Anolis sagrei: one gene and its partners. The main gene of each other region encodes a partner of the protein of the gene in region 2 in a complex. Links are inferred from orthologs where the notes say so. Each region holds a gene or a part of one and is shown on either strand. Other genes may lie near its edges.

What was found. The genes of interacting proteins can lie anywhere in the genome.
Region 1: the proteins of RHEB (region 2) and PDE6D are in contact, whole or in part, in a crystal structure (PDB 3T5G), measured with the Homo sapiens proteins. The link is inferred for Anolis sagrei from reciprocal best matches to the Homo sapiens genes RHEB and PDE6D. Residues at the interface, in NP_005605.1 of Homo sapiens: Pro2, Gln3, Ser4, Gln57, Asp77, Gln176, Gly177, Lys178, Ser179, Ser180, Cys181; in NP_002592.1 of Homo sapiens: Ile53, Leu54, Cys56, Val59, Val80, Gln85, Cys86, Leu87, Glu88, Glu89, Trp90, Ile109, Glu110, Ala111, Ala112, Pro113, Gln116, Met117, Met118, Leu123, Tyr149.
Region 3: the proteins of RHEB (region 2) and MTOR are in contact, whole or in part, in a cryo-EM structure (PDB 6BCU), measured with the Homo sapiens proteins. The link is inferred for Anolis sagrei from reciprocal best matches to the Homo sapiens genes RHEB and MTOR. Residues at the interface, in NP_005605.1 of Homo sapiens: Lys5, Ser6, Arg7, Lys8, Arg15, Pro37, Ile39, Glu40, Thr42, Gln57, Ala62, Asp65, Tyr67, Ile69, Gln72, Thr73, Ser75, Ile76, Asp77, Asn79, Asp105, Met106, Val107, Gly108, Lys109, Val110, Ile112; in NP_001373429.1 of Homo sapiens: Arg62, His69, Glu73, Ala101, Thr102, Ile104, Gly105, Arg106, Asn109, Tyr110, Arg112, Asn113, Phe140, Glu143, Tyr144, Phe147, Glu154, Arg160, Thr969, Gln973, Phe977, Lys980, Glu1010, Phe1011, Gln1014, Met1018, Ser1050, Thr1051, Asn1264, Lys1293.

Annotation. Positions count from the first base shown.
Region 1 is NC_090023.1:266,472,504-266,479,335, reverse strand, and holds the start of PDE6D (retinal rod rhodopsin-sensitive cGMP 3',5'-cyclic phosphodiesterase subunit delta), read right to left. Parts: upstream 3,012-6,832; 5' UTR 2,937-3,011; coding exon 2,878-2,936; intron 1-2,877. UniProt on the Homo sapiens protein: Promotes the release of prenylated target proteins from cellular membranes. Modulates the activity of prenylated or palmitoylated Ras family members by regulating their subcellular location.
Region 2 is NC_090026.1:122,292,554-122,299,723, reverse strand, and holds the start of RHEB (GTP-binding protein Rheb), read right to left. Parts: upstream 3,019-7,170; 5' UTR 2,745-3,018; coding exon 2,693-2,744; intron 1-2,692. UniProt on the Homo sapiens protein: Small GTPase that acts as an allosteric activator of the canonical mTORC1 complex, an evolutionarily conserved central nutrient sensor that stimulates anabolic reactions and macromolecule biosynthesis to promote cellular biomass generation and growth.
Region 3 is NC_090033.1:7,029,672-7,037,352, reverse strand, and holds the start of MTOR (serine/threonine-protein kinase mTOR), read right to left. Parts: upstream 3,012-7,681; 5' UTR 2,932-3,011; exon of another isoform or gene 2,917-2,931; intron 2,906-2,916; exon of another isoform or gene 2,783-2,905; intron 142-2,782; 5' UTR 100-141; coding exon 1-99. Other genes in the region: EXOSC10 (exosome complex component 10), read left to right, coding at 3,284-3,391, 5,160-5,296, 5,549-5,672, 5,779-5,883, 5,957-6,125. UniProt on the Homo sapiens protein: Serine/threonine protein kinase which is a central regulator of cellular metabolism, growth and survival in response to hormones, growth factors, nutrients, energy and stress signals.

The sequences.
Region 1 (6,832 bases), on a different chromosome or scaffold from region 2:
ATTGTTATTATATTTATATCTGCCATTTATTGTTATTATATTTATATCTGCCATTTTTATTATTATCATCGTAATTATATTTATATCTGTCACTTATTATCATCATCATATATTTATATCTGCCATTTATTACTGTTATTATATTTATATCTGCCATGTATTATTATTATCGTTATATTTATATCTGCCATGTATTATTGTCATTATATTTATATCTGCCATTTATTATTATTATTATACTGTGATAATAATATATTATAATTATCATTATATAGCCGGCAGGACTGAAGACCGGAAGGTTGGAAGTTCAACTCCGGGGACAGCGCGGATGAGCTCCCTCTGTCAGTTCCAGCTCCCCATGGGGGACATGAGAGAAACCTCCCAAGGATGGTAAAACATTAAAACATCAAAACACCTGGGCGTCCCCTGGGCACCGTCCTTGCAGACAGTCAATTCTCTCACACCAGAAGCGACTTGCAATTTCTCAAGTCGCTCCTGACATGAAAAAAAATCATTATATTTATGTCTGCCATTGATCTCCAGTGCAAAAAAGTGAGTTTCACTTGAGTTTTGATCTCAAGTTAAAAAAATGGGGAACCTTAGATACAAAGGAATACGGTAGTTTATTATTATTTCCTCTGCTATTTATTATTCTTATTATTTATTATTATTTATTTAAAACTTTTATATCCCGATCTTCTCACCTCCTTGACTCAAACCGGCTTACAGCAAGGATTCAATGCTAATAGTATTATCTAAAAACATCATATAATAACAAGTTAAAATACATATCGATTAAAATTACAAATAAGCCAAATCGCCAAGATAAAATCATGTCCAACTCAGTCCGTTTGTGTGGTCGATAACTTTGTTCTGTAGCCGGTTTCATCCATTACTTTGGGAATGCTTCCTTCCATAGCCAAGATTTCACCAGCCTCCTGAAGGACAGGAGGGAGGGGGCATATCTGATCTCAATTGGGAGAGAATTCCATAGCCGAGGGGCCACCACAGAAAAGGCCCTGTCTCTCATTCCCACCAGATGCGATTGCGAAAGTGGTGGGATTGAGAGCAGGGCCCCACCAGAAGATCTTAATTGTCTTAGTGGTTCATATAATTATATTTGTATCTGCCATTTATTATTATTATTATTATTATTATTATTATTATTATATCCACCTTTGATCTCACGTGAAAAAAGGGCAGGTTTTGATACAAAGAAATACGGTAGTTTGTTTAAATTGTTATTATTTCCTCTGCCATTTATTATTATTATATTTATTTATATCCGCCTTTGATCTCATGTGAAAAAAGGTCAGGTATACAAAGGAATACGATAGTTTATTATTATTTCCTCTGCTATTTATTATTATTATTATTATTATTATTATTATTATATCTGCCCTTTATTATTATTATATTTATATCCGCCTTTGATCTCATGTGAAAGAGATCAGGATTTGATACATTTAAATTGTTATTTCCTCTGCCATTTATTATTATTATATTTATTTATAGCTGCTTTAGATCTCACGTGAAAAAAGGTCAGGTATACAAAGGAATACAATAGTTTATTATTATTTACTCTGCTAGGTTCTTGTGGGTTTTTTCAGGCTATATGGCCATGTTCTAGAGGCATTTTCTCCTGACGTTTCGCCTGCATCTATGGCAAGCATCCTCAGAGGTAGTGAGGTCTGTTGGAAATAGGAAAATGGGTTTATATGTCTGTGGAATGACTGGGGTGGGACAAAGAGCTCTTCTCTGCTGGAGCTAGGTGTGAATGTTTCAACTGACCACCTTCATTAGCATTAGAAGGCCTGGCTGAGCCTGGGGGAACCACCTCAACTGGGCTCTCCAGGCCAATGGAGACTCCACCTCAGACATCAGAAGAGCTGCAAGACCCAGAACAAGCCACAAGAGTCAAGATGAAGATCCACCCAGAGGAAAAGTGTTCCTGCCATACATCAAGGGAACCACTGACCACAGAGGGAAGCTGATGAGGAAACACAACATACAAACAACCTACGGACCCACCAAGAAGATACAACAAATGCTTCGTTCAGCAATGGACAAGAGGGATCCTCTCACCGCTGCAGGAGTCCACCGTGTACCATGCAGCTGTGGACAAGTCTACAGAGGGAACACCAAACGCAGCATCGTTGCCCAAACACGAATCAAGGAACATGAAAAGCACTGCAGACTCCTTCAACCAGAGAAGTCAGCCATAGCAGAGCACCTGAGGAACTGATCTGGACACAGCATATTATTTGAGAACACAGAAATGCTGGGACCATGTCAGACTCCACAGAGAAGCCATTGAAATACACAAGCATGTGGACAATTTCAACAGAAAGGAGGAAACCATGAAAATGAACAAAATCTGGCTACCAGTATTAAAAAAAACTCAAAAATTACAACAGCAAAACAGCAGAGAGTAAACGATCAGGCACATCTAATCGCCTCTCAACAAAAGATTCCCCCAGGCTCAGCCAGGCCTTCTAATGCTAATGAAGGTGGTCAGTTGAAACATTCACACCTAGCTCCAGCAGAGAAGAGTTCTTTGTCCCACCCTGGTCATTCCACAGATATATAAACCCATTTTCCTAGTTCCAACAGACCTCACTACCTCTGAGGATGCTTGCCATAGATGCAGGCGAAACGTCAGGAGAGAATGCCTCTAGAACATTATTATTATTATTATTATTATTATTATTGAAGTAGCCTCCCATATTCCCCCATATCCCCCTCCCTCTCCCCTCCCAAGCAAGGCTTCTGTACCGTAATTCCCCGAGCAAACCCGCAGGAGCTGGGCCTCCATCCCTGGCCTCCTCGTTCCCCCGCTTGCTTTCTTTCCTTTCTTTCCTTCCTTCCCTGGGATACAGCTTGAAGCCCCTGAGGATCTCCTTGGCGCGCTCCTCCTCCTCCTCCTGGCCGGACATGGCTCCTCTGGGCCGGAGAGAGAGGCGCCTCGGACGCCCCGACGCCGGCGGAACCAGCCCTCCACACAACACGCCCCGCCTACTACGCCCCGCTCGACCAATCCCAGCCGGGGCTTCCCCACACAGGCAGCGCCGGCGGCCAATCCGAGGGAGGCTCCCTTCCCCGGCTCAGTCGCTAAGGAAGAGACGCCCCAGCAACCGCAGGAGAGAGTGAGGGGCTGACGGGTCTCGCCGCGGGACAATCTCCACCGAGAAGCGAACGCTATGGCTCGAAATGGGCAATGCTAGGAAGGCGTAGAGAAGAGCGCCCCCTGGTGGACAGAGCAGGGCACGGAGGATTGGGTGAATGGGTTGTTGTAGGTTTTTTGGGGCTATATGACCATGTTCTAGAGGCATTCTCTCCTGACGTTTCGCCTGCATCTATGGCAAGCATCCTCAGAGGTAGGGAGGTCTGTTGGAACTAGGAAAAAGGGTTTATATATCATAGAATCATAGAATCAAAGAGTTGGAAGAGACCTCATGGGCCATCCAGTCCAACCCCCTGTCAAGATGCAGGAATGTTGCATTCAAATCACCCCTGACAGATGGCCATCCAGCCTCTGCTTAAAAGCTTCCAAAGAAGGGGCCTCCACCACACTCCGGGGCAGAGAGTTCCACTGCTGAACGGCTCTCACAGTCAGGAAGTTCTTCCTCGTGTTCAGATGGAATCTCCTCTCTTGTAGTTTGAAGCCATTGTTCCATTGCGTCCTAGTCTCCAGGGAAGCAGAAGACAAGCTTGCTCCCTCTTCCCTGTGGCTTCCTCTCACATATTTATACATTGCTATCATATCCCCTCTCAGCCTTCTCTTCTTCAGGCTAAACATGCCCAGCTCGTTAAGCCGCTCCTCATAGGGCTTGTTCTCCAGACCCTTGATCATTTTAGTCGCCCTCCTCTGGACACATTCCAGCTTGTCAATTTGTTGTTGTTGTTCATTCGTTCAGTCGTCTCCGACTCTTCGTGACCTCATGGACCAGCCCACGCCAGAGCTCCCTGTCGGCCGTTACCACCCCCAGCTCCCTCAAGGTCAGTCCAGTCGCTTCAAGGATGCCATCCATCCATCTTGCCCTTGGTCGGCCCCTCTTCCTTTTGCCTTCCACTTTCCCCAGCATAATTGTCTTCTCTAGGCTTTCCTGTCTCCTCATGATGTGACCAAAGTACTTCAACTTTGTCTCTAGTATCTTTCCCTCCAGTGAGCAGTCGGGCTTTATTTCCTGGAGGATGGACTGGTTGGATCTTCTCGCAGTCCAAGGCACTCTCAGAACTTTCCTCCAACACCACAGCTCAAAAGCATCGATCTTCCTTCGCTCAGCCTTCCCTAAGGTCCAGCTCTCACATCCGTAGGTCACTACAGGGAATACCATGGCTTTGACTAGGCGGATCTTTGTTGCCAGTCTGATGTCTCTACTCTTTACTATTTTATCGAGATTGGACATTGCTCTCCTCCCAAGAAGGAAGCGTCTTCTGATTTCCTGAATTGTGGTGCCCAGAATTGGACACAATATTCCAGGTGTGGTCTAACCAGAGCAGAATAGAGCATGGGGAGCATGACTTCCCTAGATCTAGACACTAGACTCCTATTGATGTAGGCCAAAATCCCATTGGCATTTTTTGCCGCCACATCACATTGTTGGCTCATGTTTAACTTGTTGTCCACAAGGACTCCAAGATCTTTTTCACACGTACGTTTTCACAAGTTGTTACCTTTTAGAGAAAGAGATATGAATGAAATCTTATTTCTATATAAGATTCGTTTGTGGGATAAACATAACTCAAAAAACACTGGGCGAATTGACACCAAATTTGGATACAATACACCTAACAGTCCAAAGAGTGACAATCACCCCTAAAAACACACAACCCCCCCCAATTTAAACCATATATACATACACACATACATTCATATACATGTACACATGCACACATACATACAGACACACACACATATATACATGCCAGCATGGACAAATATACATATATACACAGACATACATATACACCTCTATACATATACATCCTAACCCCCCCCAAAAATAAACCATATATACATATACACATACATTCATATACATGTACACATGTCCACATGCATACAGACACACATACATATATATATATATACGCAAGCACACACAAATATACACATATACACACACATACATATACACCAATATTCATATACACCCTAAAAAACCCCCAAAATAAACCATATATACATATACACATACATTCATATACATGTACACATGTCCACATGCATACAGACACACATATATATATATATATATACGCAAGCACACACAAATATACACATATACACACACATACATATACACCTCTATACATATACACCCTAACCCCCCCCAAAATAAACCATATATACATATACACATACATTCATATACATGTACACATACATATAGACACACACACACATATATATACACAAGCAGACACAAATATACATATATGCACACACATATACACACCTATATATATTATAATTATTTATATATAATTATTTCTATATAAGATTCGTTTATTATTATATGATAATTATTTATATAATATTTCTATATAAGATTCGTTATTTATATGTAATTATTATTTATATATAATTATTTCTATATAAGATTTGTTTATTATTATATTATAATTATTTATATATAATTATTTCTATATAAGATTCGTTTATTATTATATTATAATTATTTATATAATTATTTCTATATAAGATTCGTTATTTATATATAATTATTATTTATATATAATTATTTCTATATAAGATTCATTTGTGGGATAAACATAACTCAAAAAACACTGGGCGAATTGGCACCAAATTTGGACACAATACAACTAACAGGCCAAAGAGTGACAATCACCCCTAAAACCCCAAAAAAACCCCAAATAAACCATATAAACATATACACATACATTCATATACATGTACACATACATACAGACACACACACATATATATGCAAGCAGACACAAATATACACATATACACCTATATACATATACACCCTAAAAAGACCCAAAATAAACCATATATACATATCCCGGAAGCACACACAAATATACACATACACACACATATATATACACCTCTACACATATACACCCTTAACCCCCCCCCCCAAAATAAACCATATATACATATACACATACATTCATATACATTTACACATGTACACATACATACAGACACACACACACATATACATGCAAGCATGCACAAATATACATATATACACACACATACATATACACCTCTATACATATACACCCTAAAAAGACCCAAAATAAACCATATATACATATACACATACATTCATATACATGTACACATACATACAGACACACACACACACATATATATATGCAAGCAGACACAAATATACACATATACACACACATACATATACACTTCTATACATATACACTCTAACCCCCCCCCCAAAATAAACCATATATACATATACACATACATTCATATACATGTACACATGCATACAGACACACATACATATATATATATACACGCAAACACACACAAATATACATATATACACACACATACATATACACCAATATACAATATACACCCTAAAAACCCCCAAAATAAACCATATATACATATAAACATTGTGCTGTTGCACGCTAGGCCTGTGCATAAGACTGTAGACAGGACATAAATTCCGTGTGCCCAACGGGACACCCGGGCTGCCTCAGATTAAAGGCCCTTGGATTTCCTTAAAACAGAGTCTTTAGATTGCTTAAAGGTTCAACAAAGTTCTTTATTAATGAAAACAAACAGGTACTTTAAGGCTTTCTTAACAGTCTATTGCAGTGGTTC
Region 2 (7,170 bases):
GAAAACTAAGTAAATACATTTACATTGAGGAATAAATGAGATTATAATTATTTCATCAGAACCAGACATTCCATCTTAAATTATGTCAGGTATTCCTGTGGTTATCCCTGCACAGGAAAAAAAAATGCAGTTTGAACGGAAGATGCAGGGTTGGGGCAAGCCTCCCCAGTTTTGCCATTTTGCACCCTGTCTCTACTATTGGAGTCTTTAATGGAGCAGATGGTTCTCCGTGCCCACTAATTCAACCACCTGTGTCTTGATTTTGCCATTTTATATAAGGGACACAATTTTGCAAGGCCATTTTAGACAATGGGATTTGAGCATGTATAGATTTGGGTCTCCATGTGGGGTTCTGAAACCAAACCACAAAGATCCCAAAGGCCCAATTTTTTATTCCAGGACTATAAACACTGGCCCTTCTCAAAACAAAACACCTGTCTTCCCAAATAATAATATTTCAGGATTATGCACTGTTAAGGCTGCATACAATTCCGGCTGCTAGGAATTGTGGGATTTGAAGTCCAAAATGAAGTTTGCCCATGGCTGCTATATACCGGGGGGAGGGGGGCTTTGCATATAAACAATGAGTCTCCATCAAGGCAAGACATGACTCCCCTTAATAATAATAAGAAGGAGGAGGAGGAGGAGAGAGGGTTCTGTATATAAACAATGAGTCTCCATCAAGGAAAGACATGACTCCCCTTAATAATAACAATAATAATAATAAGGGAGGGGGCTCTGTATATAAACAATGAGTCTCCATCAAGGCGAGACATGACTCCCCTTAATAATATTAATAATATTATTATTATTATTAATAATAATAATAATGGAAGGAGGGCTCTGTATATAAACAATGAGTCTCCATCAAGGCAAGACATGACTCACCTTAATAATAATAATAATAATAATAATAATAATAATGGAAGGAGGGCTCTGTATATAAACAACAAGTCTCCATCAAGGAAAGACATGACTCCCCTTAATAATAATGGAGGGGGGGGGGCTCTGTATATAAAAATGAGTCTCCATCAAGGCAAGACATGATGATGATGATGATAATAATAATAATAATAATAATAAGGGAGGGCTCTGTATATAAACAACGAGTCTCCATCAAGGCAAGACATGACTCCCCTTAATACTACTACTACTACTACTACTAATAATAATAATAATAAGGGAGAGGGTGCTCTGTATATAAAAATGAGTCCCCATCAAGGCAAGACATGACTCCCCTTAATAATAATAATAATGGAGGGGGGGCTCTGTATCTAAACAATGAGTCTCCATCAAGGCAAGACATGACTCCCCTTAATAATAATAATAATAATAATAATAATAAGGGAGGGAGGCTCAGTATATAAACAATGAGTCTCCATCAAGGCAAGACATGACTCCCCTTAATAATAATAATAATAATAATAAGAAGAAGAAGAAGGGAGGGCTCCATATAGAAACAATGAGTCTCCATCAAGGCAAGACATGACTCCCCTTGATGATGGTAATAATAATAATAATAGGGAAAGCTCTATATATAAATAATGAGTCTCCATCAAGGCAAGACATGACTCCCAATAATAATAATAATAATAAGGGAGGGAAGGCTCTGTATATAAACGAGTCTCCATCAAGGCAAGACATGACTCCCAATAATAATAATAATAATGGAAGGAGGGCTCTGTATATAAACAATGAGTCTCCATTAAGGCAGGACATGATAAATAATAATAATAATAATAATAAGGGAGGGCTCTGTATCTAAACAATGAGTCCCCATCAAGGTAAGACATGACTCCCCTTAATAATAATAATAAGGGAGAGGGGCTCTGTATATAAACAATGAGTCTCCATCAAGGCAAGACATGATAAATAATAATAATAATAATAATAATAATAATAATAAGGGATGGGAGGCTCTGTATCTAAACAACGAGTCTCCATCAAGGTAAGACATGATTCCCCTTAATAATAATAATAATTATTATTATAATAATAATGGGAGGAGGGCTCTGTATCTAAACGAGTCTCCATCAAGGCAAGACATGACCCCCCTTTAATAATAATAATGGAGGACTCTATATATAAACAATGAGCCTCCATCAAGGCAAGACATGATAATAATAATAATAATATTAATAATAAGAGAGGAGGCTTTGTATATAAACAACGAGTCTCCATCAAGGCAAGACATGACTCCCCTTAATAATAATAATAATAATACCCAGGATTATAAATTGTGTGAAGTTACTCTGTATATAATGACGAAAGGCTTTGAAGACACTAATTATTATAATTATCACTATTATTCCAAGAGCATAAATGGCTAGACCTTGGTGGGGCGCCAGTGTATAGGGACACCAGTCACACTCAAGACACGTGTCTCCCCAAATTGAATTAAAAAAGATTACGAATTGGTGAGAAAAATATGCAATATTGGACAAACTTGGGCCTTGCAGGAGTTTTGGACTCCAACTCCCACCATTCCTAACAGCCTCAGGCCCTTTCCTTTCCCCCCTCAGCCGCTTAAGCGGCTGAGGAGGGAAAGGAAGGGGCCTGAGGCTGTTAGGAATGGTGGGAGTTGGAGTCCAAAACTCCTGCAAGGCCCAAATTGGCTCAGGCCTCCTGTATATCAACACGACTTTCCCAAATAGTAGTGCTAAGGTTGTCTGCCTCGAGTGGGCGGCCTCACCGACGCTCCTGTAGCCCAGGATGGCGATCTTACGGGACTTGGACGGCGGCATCTTCTCCCCGCTGGGCCCCGAACCACATCAAGGGCTCCGGCCTCGACGGCGGCAGCAGCGAAGAAGCGGGGGAGGGAAAATATAGATATATACAGATATAAAGAGCGCCTTCGGAAGGGTTCTCCCTCCCTCGCGGCCTGGTCTCCGACTTGAGAGAGAGAGACCACACACTGGAAGTGGAAGGAAAGGAAGAACGTGCCGATCTCTGGCTCTCTCACTCCTCGACTGACTGGCTCGCTGAGGCGACGCAACGGACGCCGCTTCTGCTCACGTGACCTCCGGCTGCGCGCGCGCGCTCTCCTCTGCCTCCGTTTGCCGCGGTGACGTCACGGAGAGGGGCGTGGTTTGTTTACGCCCACTTAGAGAAAAAAATATAAAATATTTCGCTGCCTCATTCCATAGTCCCCGCCCCCTTCACATACGTCACGGGAAGCGCGAGCGGTGATTGGACGGAGCCAGTGCCGTTGCAAAACACAAACACTTCCTATTGGTTTAAATCCTTTTAAACCAATAGGTTTAAGTCGCTTCCTATTGGTTTAAATCCTTTCGCCGCTCCCGCCTTTTCGTTTCGTCATTGTAAACGGGAACTCTGGTTGGCCCGCTCCGATGCTTGTCTTTTAAAGAAAGAAAAGGAACGCTGGTATTGAATTGTTCTTTGGTCCCGCCCTGCTGTTATGTCACCACAAGTCGGAACGCTGGTTGGCCCGCTCCGATGCTTGTCTTTTAAAGAAAAAAAGGAACGCTGATTTTGTCCCGCCTTGCTGTTACGTCACCACAAAGGCGAACGCTCATTGGCCGGCTTCGAAGCTTGTCTTTTAAAGAAAAAGGGAACGCTGACATTGGATTGTTCTTCGCTCCCGCCCTCCTGTTACGTCACCACAAGCACGAACGCTGATTGGTCGGCTCCGAAGCTGGTCTTTTTAAATGAACTCTGAAATTGGATTGTTCTTCGCGCCCGCCCTCCCGTTACGTCACCATAAGCGCGAACGCTGATTGGCCGTCTCCGAAGCTTGTCTTTTTTAATAAACTCTGAAATTGGATTGTTCTTTGGTCCCGCCCCGAGGGTTACGTCACCACAACCGCGAGCGTTGGTTGGCCGGTTCCGAGGCTATTCTTTTAATGAAAAAAAAGGAATGCTGGCATTGGATTGTTCTTCGCTCCCGCCCTCCCGTTACGTCACCATAAGCGCGAACGCTGATTGGCCAGTTCCAATGCTTGTCTTTAAAAAAAATGGAATGCTGGTATTGTACTTTGGACCCGCCCCGAGGGTTACGTCACCACAACTGCGAACACTGATTGGCCGGCTCCGAAGCTTGTCTTTAAAAGAAAAAAGGAAGCTGGTATTGGATAGTTCTTCGCTCCCGCCCTACTATTACGTCACCAACAGCACGAGCACTGGTTGGACGGCTCTGATGGCATTCGATTGATCCCGAGGTCTTTCTCTATTGGCTAAATCACTCAATGGCAGGTTATAGAGGACGCGCGCTCTCTGATTGGTGGGAAATGGGGTGAGGGCGGGGGCTCGATTGCGGAAGGAACGAGGCGGGCGTGCACGTGGTGGGCAGGGGCAAAACATTCTGAGCTCGAACTATGGAATACTAGGCGTTGTTAACGGGATGTCGAACTGCATTAAGTTTGGAGTGTAGATGCACCCTTGTACATATAGGGTAAAACGCCTGTCCTCTGTAAGAGAGAGCTTGAAGTGCATTGGCTTAAAGGGGAATCCATCCTTGAACCATTTTTCCCATACATGTCAATGTAAACAGCCTATATTGCATAATTAATGCAGTTTAATGTATTGTGGAAGGCTTTCATGGCTGGAATCACTAGGTTCTTGTGGGGGTTTTTCGGGCTATATGGCCATGTTCTGGAGGCATTTTCTCCTGACGTTTCGCCTGCATCTGTGGCAAGCATCCTCAGAGGTAGTGAGGTCTGTTGGAATTAGGAAAATGGGTTTATATATCTATGGAATGGCTAGGGTGGGGCAAGGAGCTCTTCCCTGCTGCAGTTAGGTGTGAATGTTTCAGCTGACCACCTTGATTAGCATTTGAAGGCCTGGCTGAGCCTGGGAAAATCTTTTGTTGAGAGGTGTTAAGATGTGCCTGGTTGTTTCCTCTCTGCTCTTTTGCTGTTGTAATTTTAGAGTTTTGTTCATTTTCATGGTCTCTTCCTTTCTGTTGAAATTGTCCACATGCTTCTGGATTTCAATGGCTTCTCTGTGTAGTCTGACATGGTGGTTGTTGGTGTGGTCCAGCATTTCTGTGTTCTCAAATAATATGCTGTGTCCAGGCTGGTTCATCAGGTGCTCTGCTATGGCTGACTTCTCTGGTTGAGTTAGTCTGCAGTGCCTTTCATGTTCCTTGATTCGTGTCTGTGTTTGGTGGTCCCTATGTAGACTTTTCCACAGCTGCATGGTACACGGTAGACTCCTGCAGAAGTGAGAGGATCCCTCTTGTCCTTTGCTGAACGTAGCATTTGTTGGATTTTCTTGGTGAGTCTGTAGATTGTTTGTAGGTTGTGTTTCCTCATCAGCTTCCCTATGCGGTCAGTGGTTCCCTTGATGTATGGCAGGAACACTTTTCCTCTGGGTGCATCTTCATCTTGACTCTCGTGGCTTGTTCTCCAAGAACAAGCCATGAGAGTAAAGATGAAGAACCACCCAGAGTAGTAAACAATCTGGGACATCTAATCACCTCTCAACAAAAGATTCCCCAGGCTCAGCCAGGCCTTCAAATGCTAATGAAGGTGGTCAGTTGAAACATTTACACCTAGCTCCAGCAGAGAAGAGCTCTTTGCCCCACCCCAGTCATTCCACAGATATGTAAACCCATTTTTCTAACTCCAACAGACCTCACAACCTCTGAGGATGCTTGCCATAGATGCAGGTGAAATGTCAGGAGAAAATGGCTCTAGAACATGGCCATATAGCCCGAAAAAACCCACAAGAACCTAATGCAGTTTATTTATTTCCAGCATTTCTATCCCGTCCTTCTCAACCCCCATGAGGGGACTCAGAACGGGTTGTTGTAGGTTTTTTCGGGCTATATGACCATGTTCTAGAGGCATTCTCTCCTGACGTTTCGCCTGCATCTATGGCAAGCATCCTCAGAGGTAGTGAGGTCTGTTGGAACTAGGAAAAAAGGGTTTATATATATGTGGATTGACCAGGGTGGGACAAAGGACTCTTGTCTGATGGAGCTAGGTGTGAATGTTTCAACTGACCACCTTGATTAGCATTTGATGGCCTGGCAGTGCCTGGGGCAATCTTTTGTTGAGAGGTGATTAGATGTCCCAGATTGTTTCCTCTCTGTTGTTTTGCTGTTGTAATTTTAGAGTTTTTTTAAATACTGGTAGCCAGATTTTGTTCATTTTCATGGTTTCCTCCTTTCTGTTGAAATTGTCCACATGGTTATGGATTTCAATGGCTTCTCTGTGTAATCTGACATGGTGGTCGTGAAAGTGGTACAGCATTTCTGTGTTTTCAAATAATATGGTGTGTACAGGTTGGTTCTGGGACATCTAATCACCTCTCAACAAAAGATTGCCCCAGGCACTGCCAGGCCATCAAGTGCTAATCAAGGTGTTCAGTTGAAACATTCACACGTAGCCCCAGAAGACAAGACTCCTTTGTCCCATCCTTGTCCCACCAAGCCTACAACCACCCAGTGATTCCGGCCATGAAAGCCTTCGAAAATACATTGGACTTAGGACGGCTTACATTTGGCACAATTTGATGCCATTAAATATAACAAAGCAATATAACAACAATTAAAACAATAAATAGAACATTAATTAAAACAATAACAGTATTAACCACTGTATCACCATTCCAGTCAAATTCTATATCCAAAGCACTATTTATGCTTGCTGTCCAAAAGTCTGGTCCAAGAACCATGACTTCAATTTCTTCTTAAAAGACAGGAGAGATGAAGGCGATCTTACCTTGTTGGAACGCGAGTTCCACAGCCGAGAAGGCCCTGTCTCTCGTCCCCATCAGACGTATTTGCAACGCTGGTGGGAGTGAGAGCAGGGTCTCCCCAGATGATCTTACACTGCAAGACATAGAGGGAGATGCTCAGGCGGGGCGGCTACAGCTGAGAAGGCCCTGTCTCTCGTCCCCGCCAGAAGTATTTGCGACTGGCGGGAGTGAGAGCAGGGCCTCCCCGGATGATCTTAAACTGCAAGGCGGGACATAGAGGGAGATGCTTTCAGACAAGTAAGCTGGGTCAGAACCATATAGGGCTTTATAGGTCAAAACCAGGGCTTTGAATTGAGCTCGGAAGTGGATCGGCAACCAGTGTGCTCCAGTTTGTAATCTGGCTGCAGCCTGTTGGGCTAGTTGATGTTTTTGAACAGTCTTCAAAGGCAGCCCTACATAGAGTGCGTTGCAGTAATCTATTTGGGATGTAACAAGAGCATGGACCAC
Region 3 (7,681 bases), on a different chromosome or scaffold from region 2:
ATAATGCTGCAGGTCTTTGGCCGCTTTTGCCCGGGTTTCTTCATTCCTGCTCTTGAGGCCGGTGGCAAACTGCTGGAGGATAATGACGGTCCCCGACATGGTGGCGGTGGTGGATCAGAATCTATGGGGTTCTTTAGGGTCCTGGAAACAGAAGGAAACCATTCTGAAAAAGCCAAAGGAAGAAAAAGGCCGCAACGTAACACAGCAAGTGCCGCCATCCTCGGCAGCAGGCTTGCTATTATTATCAATATTATTATTATGATTATTTGATGCACAACAGGACTGGTACACAACAAACAAGATAATTCTGCTGGCTTTTGTATTCGATCACACATTGGACACTTTCCAAATGTCTAGGACTATGTGATGTATCGGCGAATAATGCGTGCAGATCCGAGTAGGCAGCAGTGTTATTAATATTATTATTAGTCTCCTGCTATTGTTCTTATTACATTATTAGTATTATCTTTATTATTATTATTATTATCATCATCATCATCATCCTTGGCAGCAGTGTCATTACTGCTGCTATTATTATTATTATTATTATTATTATTATTATCCTACTGCTATTGTTCTTATTACATTATTACTATTATTATTATTACCCTACTACTATTGCAATTAATTATTATCCTACTGCTATTTTTCTTATTACATTATTACTATTATCATCATTATCCTACTGTTATTATTACATTATTATTATCCTACTGCTATTGTTATTTAATTATTATTATTATCCTATTTTTTCTTATTACATTATTATTCCCCTCTTGCTATTATTACATTATTATACTACTGCTATTGTTATTATATTAATATTATTATCCTACTATTATTACATTATTATTATTACTCTACTGTTATTGTTATTCCATTATTATTATTATTATCATCCTGCTATTGTTCTTATTACATTGTTATCATCTTTATTACGCTACTGCTATTATTCCATTATTATTACCCTACTGCTATTATTATTACTATCCTGCTATTGTTCTTATTACATTATTATTACTCTACTGCTATTTTTCTGCTTACATTATTATTATCATCATCATCATCATCATCAGCCTACTGCTATTGTTATTACATTATTATTATTATTATTGTTATTATTATTCCTCTACTGCTATTATTATTACATTATTATTACCCTACTGCTATTATTATTACATTATTATCATCCTACTATTGTTCTTATTACATTATTATTATTATTATTATTCCTCTACTGCTGCTATTATTATTATTATTATTCTTATTATTATCCTACTGCTATTGTAATTACATTATTATTATCATCATCCTACTATTGTTCTTATTACATTATTATTATTATTCCTCTACAGCTATTATTAATATTATCCTACTGCTATTATTACATTATTATTATCATCCTACTATTGTTCTTATATGATTATTATTATTATTACTACCCTGCTGCTATTGTAATTACATTATTATTATCATCATCATTATCCTACTGCTATTACTACCTTATTATTATTATAACCTTACTGCTATTATTATTACATTATTCTTATTACCTACTGCTATTGTAATTACATTATTATCCTACTATTTCTTCTTCTTCTTCTTCTTATCATCATCATCATCACCATCATTATCCTACTGCTATTGTTATTACCTTACTATTATTACTATTGTACTGCTATTCTTATTACATTATTCTTATTACCTACTGCTATTGTAGTTACATTATTATCCTACTATTTCTTCTTCTTCTTATCATCATCATCATCATCATCATTATCCTACTGCTATTGTTATTACCTTACTATTATTACTATTGTACTGCTATTCTTATTACATTATTCTTATTACCTACTGCTATTGTAATTACATTATTATCCTACTATTTCTTCTTATTATTATTATTATAATCATCATCATTATCCTACTGCTATTGTTATTACCTTACTATTATTATTATTGTACTGCTATTCTTATTACATTATTCTTATTACCTACTGCTATTGTAATTACATTATTATCCTACTATTTCTTCTTCTTATTATTATTATCATCATCATCATTATCCTACTGCTATTGTTATTACCTTACTATTATTACTATTGTACTGCTATTCTTATTACATTATTCTTATTATTCCTCTACTGCTATCATTATTATTATTATCCTACTGCTATTCTTATTACATTATTATTATCATCCTACTATTGTTCTTATTACATTATTATTACCCTGCTGCTATTGTAATTACATCATTATTATCATCATTATCCTACTGCTATTATTACCTTATTATTATTATAACCCTACTGCTATTATTATATTATTATTATTACTTACTGCTATTGTAATTACATTATTATCCTACTAGTTCTTCTTCTTATTATTATTATTATCATCATCATTATCCTACTGCTATTGTTATTACCTTACTATTATTATTATTGTACTGCTATTATTATTACATTATTATTGTACTGCTATTGTCCTTATTACATTATTATTATTATCATTATCCTACTGCTATTGCCATTACATTATTATTATTACCCTATTGCTATTGCCCTCATTACATTATTATCTTTATTATTGTTGTTGTTGTTATTATCCTCTTCCCTATCAGCCATTTTATTAGTGTTATTAATACTATTATAACTATTTTTATTATCATTATTAATATTCGTGGCCATGTTAGACCTGCTATTGTTGTTAATTACTATTATATTATTGTTATCTAATAGTAATTAACATTATTATTATCCCTGCTCTCATGATCACTCACCTCACAAAGGATATTCTTGCTGTTCTGAGGTAAATTGTGAGGTAAATTCCGTGGTGGACATTCCCCTTCGTTGAGGGAAACCTTCTGAAGGGGAATTGCCCCCCAAAATGTCCTCTTTACTTCCCAAAAATTACCTTTTTTCGACTCACCTCTCTCCTCAGTCTCATCTTCGCCTTTTGCCACCCCGTTCTTTTGACTAGCCAATCAGCTTCTTCGAAATACTAAACAGACCAATAGGAAGGCGCGGCTAGGGTGAGTGACGGGCGTTGGTTCCTGCCCACCACGAAGACAACCTTTCCTTCTCCGCCTCCGCTCAGCGCGAGGGAGGGGCTTCTGGGAATAGACCAATCAAAGGAAAGAATAAAGAAGATCGGCATTAGGGAAACACCAATCAAATGCGTCTCTGGGAAATTTCGCGAGATTCAGCGGGAGTATGCTTTCTTTTCCAAGATGGCGGCTGTGTGAGAGAAGGAAGCGGCGCTCGCTGAGAAAAAGCGGCAAATGGCGGCGAAGGAAGGATTGAGCGGCCCCGACGAGGCGACGGCAATGGAAACCGACCGCGAAGGCTTCGTCCTGCCCGGATTTGGGGACGCAGATGCCTTCGTGAAGGTAGTTTTGAGGGAGGAGAAGGCCCCAGCGGGAGAGCGCATGCGCGCGCTAAGCATGCCGGGAATTGTAGTTTTCAGGGAAGAATGCCCAATTCATGAATCTTAGGCCTCACTTAAAGGATTCTGGGAAGTGTAGTCCTCCAAAAGGACCTTTTCCTACCTATTATTTCCTTTTTATGTCTGCTGGGCTTGGGTTTTACCCCTCAAAGGGAATCTTTTTATTTTAATATTGAATTGAAATAAAATTTTGTTATTTTTGTTATTTTATATTGATTTATTTCAAATTAAATATATTAAATATACAGTAATTATATTGTGTTAGTGTAATCTCTGCTTATTAATTTTATATGCATTCTAATATATTTATTTTAATTTGTCTTAACTTATTTTCCCCATAGAGAATTATATTATGATCTTAATATAATACGTATCCATCAGTTAGTTTTATATTGAGTGTGTGATATAAATAATTATATTTTACATTCATTTATTTTTCCCCCATTTGGAGAGGAGGATTCTGGGAGGTGTAGGTCTGAAAAATGAACATTTCCTTTTTATTTTTATATTTTTAATAATTTATAATTTATTTTCCATACACACACACACAGTTTATATAATTATTCCCATTTTATACAAATTTTTCCATATGTATATATATAGTTTATTGTTCCCATTTATATATATCATACTCTAATTTCCACCATACATATATACCTATATATAATGTAATTTTCCCATTGTAATCATATTTTCCTCATAAATATATTTAATAATTTAATAATTTTGCATACACACACACACACACACACACACACATTGTTTATATAATTATTCCCATTTTATACAATTTCCCCCTCATATATATACATATAGCCATCTGAGGGCTGAGAAAAACGGTATATAAATAAAGTAAATAATATATATATTATTTTTCCCATTTCTATATATTATACTCTAATTTCCACCATGCATATATGTATGTATATATAATGTATTTTCCCATTTTATACATATTTTCCTCATATATATATATTTAATAATTTATCATTTATTTTCCATATATATACATACATATGGTTTATATAATTATTCTCATTTTATACGTTTTTCCCTCATATATATATATATATATATATATATATATATATAATTTATTTTTCCAATGTCTATATATTATACCCTAATTTCCACCATACATATGCTATATACTTATATATAATGTAATTTTCCCATTTTATTCATATTTTTGTCATATATATATATATATATATATATATATAATTTATAATTTATTTTCCATATATACACACAGATAGAGGTAGACATTGATAGATAGATAGAGGTAGAACTGGATAGATAGATGTAGAAATGGATAGATAGATAGATAGATAGAGGTAGAAATTGATTGATAGATAGAGGTAGAACTGGATAGATAGATGTAGAAATTGATAGATAGATAGATAGATAGATAGAGGTAGAACTGGATAGATAGAGGTAGAAATGGATAGATAGATAGAGGCTGAAATGGATAGATAGATAGATGTAGAAATTGATAGATAGATAGAGGTAGAACTGGATAGATAGATAGATAGAGGCTGAAATTGATAGATAGATAGAGGTAGAAGTTGATAGATAGATAGATAAATAGATAGAGGTAGAAATTGATAGATAGAGGTGGAACTGGATAGATAGATAATTGTAGGCTGAACTATCTACCTTGAGTTCCCAAGGCTTCCTTTCCTGACGGTTGTCCTGCCCTTGCTTCCCAGCATGCCCTGGGCTCTGTGGTCTCTGTCACCAAGGCCTCCAATGGCCTCCCACAGCCGGGAGACGAGTACGACTTCTACCGCAGCTTTCCTGGCTTCCAGGCCTATTGTGAGACGCAAGGAGACCGGCTTCTCCAATGGTGAGTCTTGCATCGAATGTTGGAAGGGACCTCCAAAGGCCATCCAGTCCAACCCTATTCTTCTGCCAGGCAGGGGGCACCTTCCAAGCCCTCCTGACAGATGGCTATCCAGCCTCTCAGACATTGGAAGCTTCATAAGGCTATAGAAAATTGGAATCCTGGAGAAAGCAAACCTGCTTCCTCCTCCTTAGGACCTTCTTCCCAATATGTAGACATGACTCTTACGAAGCTGTATTCTGTACCATTTCCCAGCATGAGCAAAGTGATGCAGTATCACGGCTGCCGAAGTCACCTCCGGGACCGGAGCACCGTGACGGAGCTGGAGGACAAGTTCGACCTGCTGGTGGATGCCAACGACGCCATTTTGGAGCGCGTGGTGAGTGCGATCGCCCTGTATAAGTTGGAGGGCTTGGGTGGCAGGAGGGGGCTGGACTGGATGGCCTTTGGGGGTCCCTTCCGACTGTATGGCTTCATAATTGCAGGGCACGCTCTTGGATGAAGCGGCCGGCGTGAACAAGAACCAGCAGCCGGTCCTGCCTTTGGGTTTGCAGCCTCCCAAGACCATCGTTTCCAGCTGGAACCGCAAGGTGAACCTCCTCTTCCTTCTGTTTACATATTATGTGGGAGTGATGTTGTGCTAACGCCCATGTCTCCTCCCAGCAGAGCAGCGAGGCTAGCAAGCGGTCCCGGCCCGAAACCTTCCGCCTTCTCCACGCCAGGAACATCCTGCGCCCGCAGCTCAGGTTCCGGGAGAAAGTGGACAACTCCAACACCCCCTTCGTCCCCAAACTCTTCGTCAAACCCAACGCCATGAAGCCGCTGCCAGAAGGTGACCGAACGAGGGTCAGAAAGGGGCCTGGCTATGGCGGAAGGACAGGGCTTCCGGGAGCAGTTGTGGCCATCTGTCCTCCTGACTCTCACTAGAATTTGACTTTGTGGCAGATGAGAAACATGATATATTTGGAAAGTTACATTTGGGGGGGGGGGGTCCTGTGTCCCTAGCACCAGTAAATGTGGAAGGGAGTTTGGAGAGTTAGTTTTTATATTATTATTATATTTTATCATATTATATTATTTTATTATGCTTTTATTTTATATTTTTCTTTTTTCTTTTATTATATATTTTATGTTTATATATACACAAACACACAAATACGTGTGTGTATATCTTTCTTGTATTATTGGCAGATGAGAAAGATTATATATTTGTAATGTTATGTATTACATATTTGCCCCTAACCCCCTATTATTATTATTATTATTATTATTATTATTATTCGGGAGTTATATTGAACAGATAATATATTATTATTATTATTATTATTTGGAAGTTATATTGAACAGATAAAGTATTACTGTTATTATTATTATGGAGTTGTATTACACAGATTTATTATTATTATTATTATTATTATTTGGAAGCTACATTGTAAAGATAAAGTATTATTGTTTTTATTTTATTATGTGATGCAGTATCACGGCTGCCGAAGTCACCTCCGGGACCGAAGCACCGTTTTAATTTACATTTTAATTTTAATTTTATTATATTTTTATGTTTTTTTATATATATCTTTTATTATTGGCAGATGAGAAACATTATACATTTGTAATGTTATATATCATATATTTGGCCCTTATTATTATTATTATTATTATTATTTGGAAGTTACATTGAACAGATAAAGTATTACTATTATTATTTGGGAGTTATGTACAGATAAAGTATTACTATTATTGTTATGGAGTTATATTACACAGATTTATTATTTGGAAGCTACATTGTAAAGATAAAGTATTATTTTTATTTTATTATGCTTTTATTTTACATTTTAATTTTATTATGTTTTTATTTTTATATATATCTTTTATTATTGGCAGATGAGAAACATTATATATTTGTAATGTTATATATTATATATTTGCCCATTATTATTATTATTTGGGAGTTATATTGTACAGATAATATTTTATTATTATTAGGAAGTGATATTGCACAAATAAAGTTTTACTATTATTATTTGGGAGTTATAATGTACAGATAATGTATTATTATTATTATTATTATTAGGACGTGATATTGCACAAATAAAGTTTTACTATTATTATTTGGGAGTTATATTGTACAGATAATGTATTATTATGATTATTATTAGGACGTGATATTGGACAAATAAAGTTTTACTATTATTATTTGGGAGTTATAATGTACAGGTAAAGCATTATTATTATTATTATTATTATTATTGCGTTTCCAATTATTAATGGCTTCACCTCATTTGAAGTTCTCTGTCCTGTGGATATTTAAGGATATTACGTTATTTTTGCGTAATTGGCATGCATATGGTAAAGCTGGTAATTGGCCAATATACTTCCAATATATTGAAA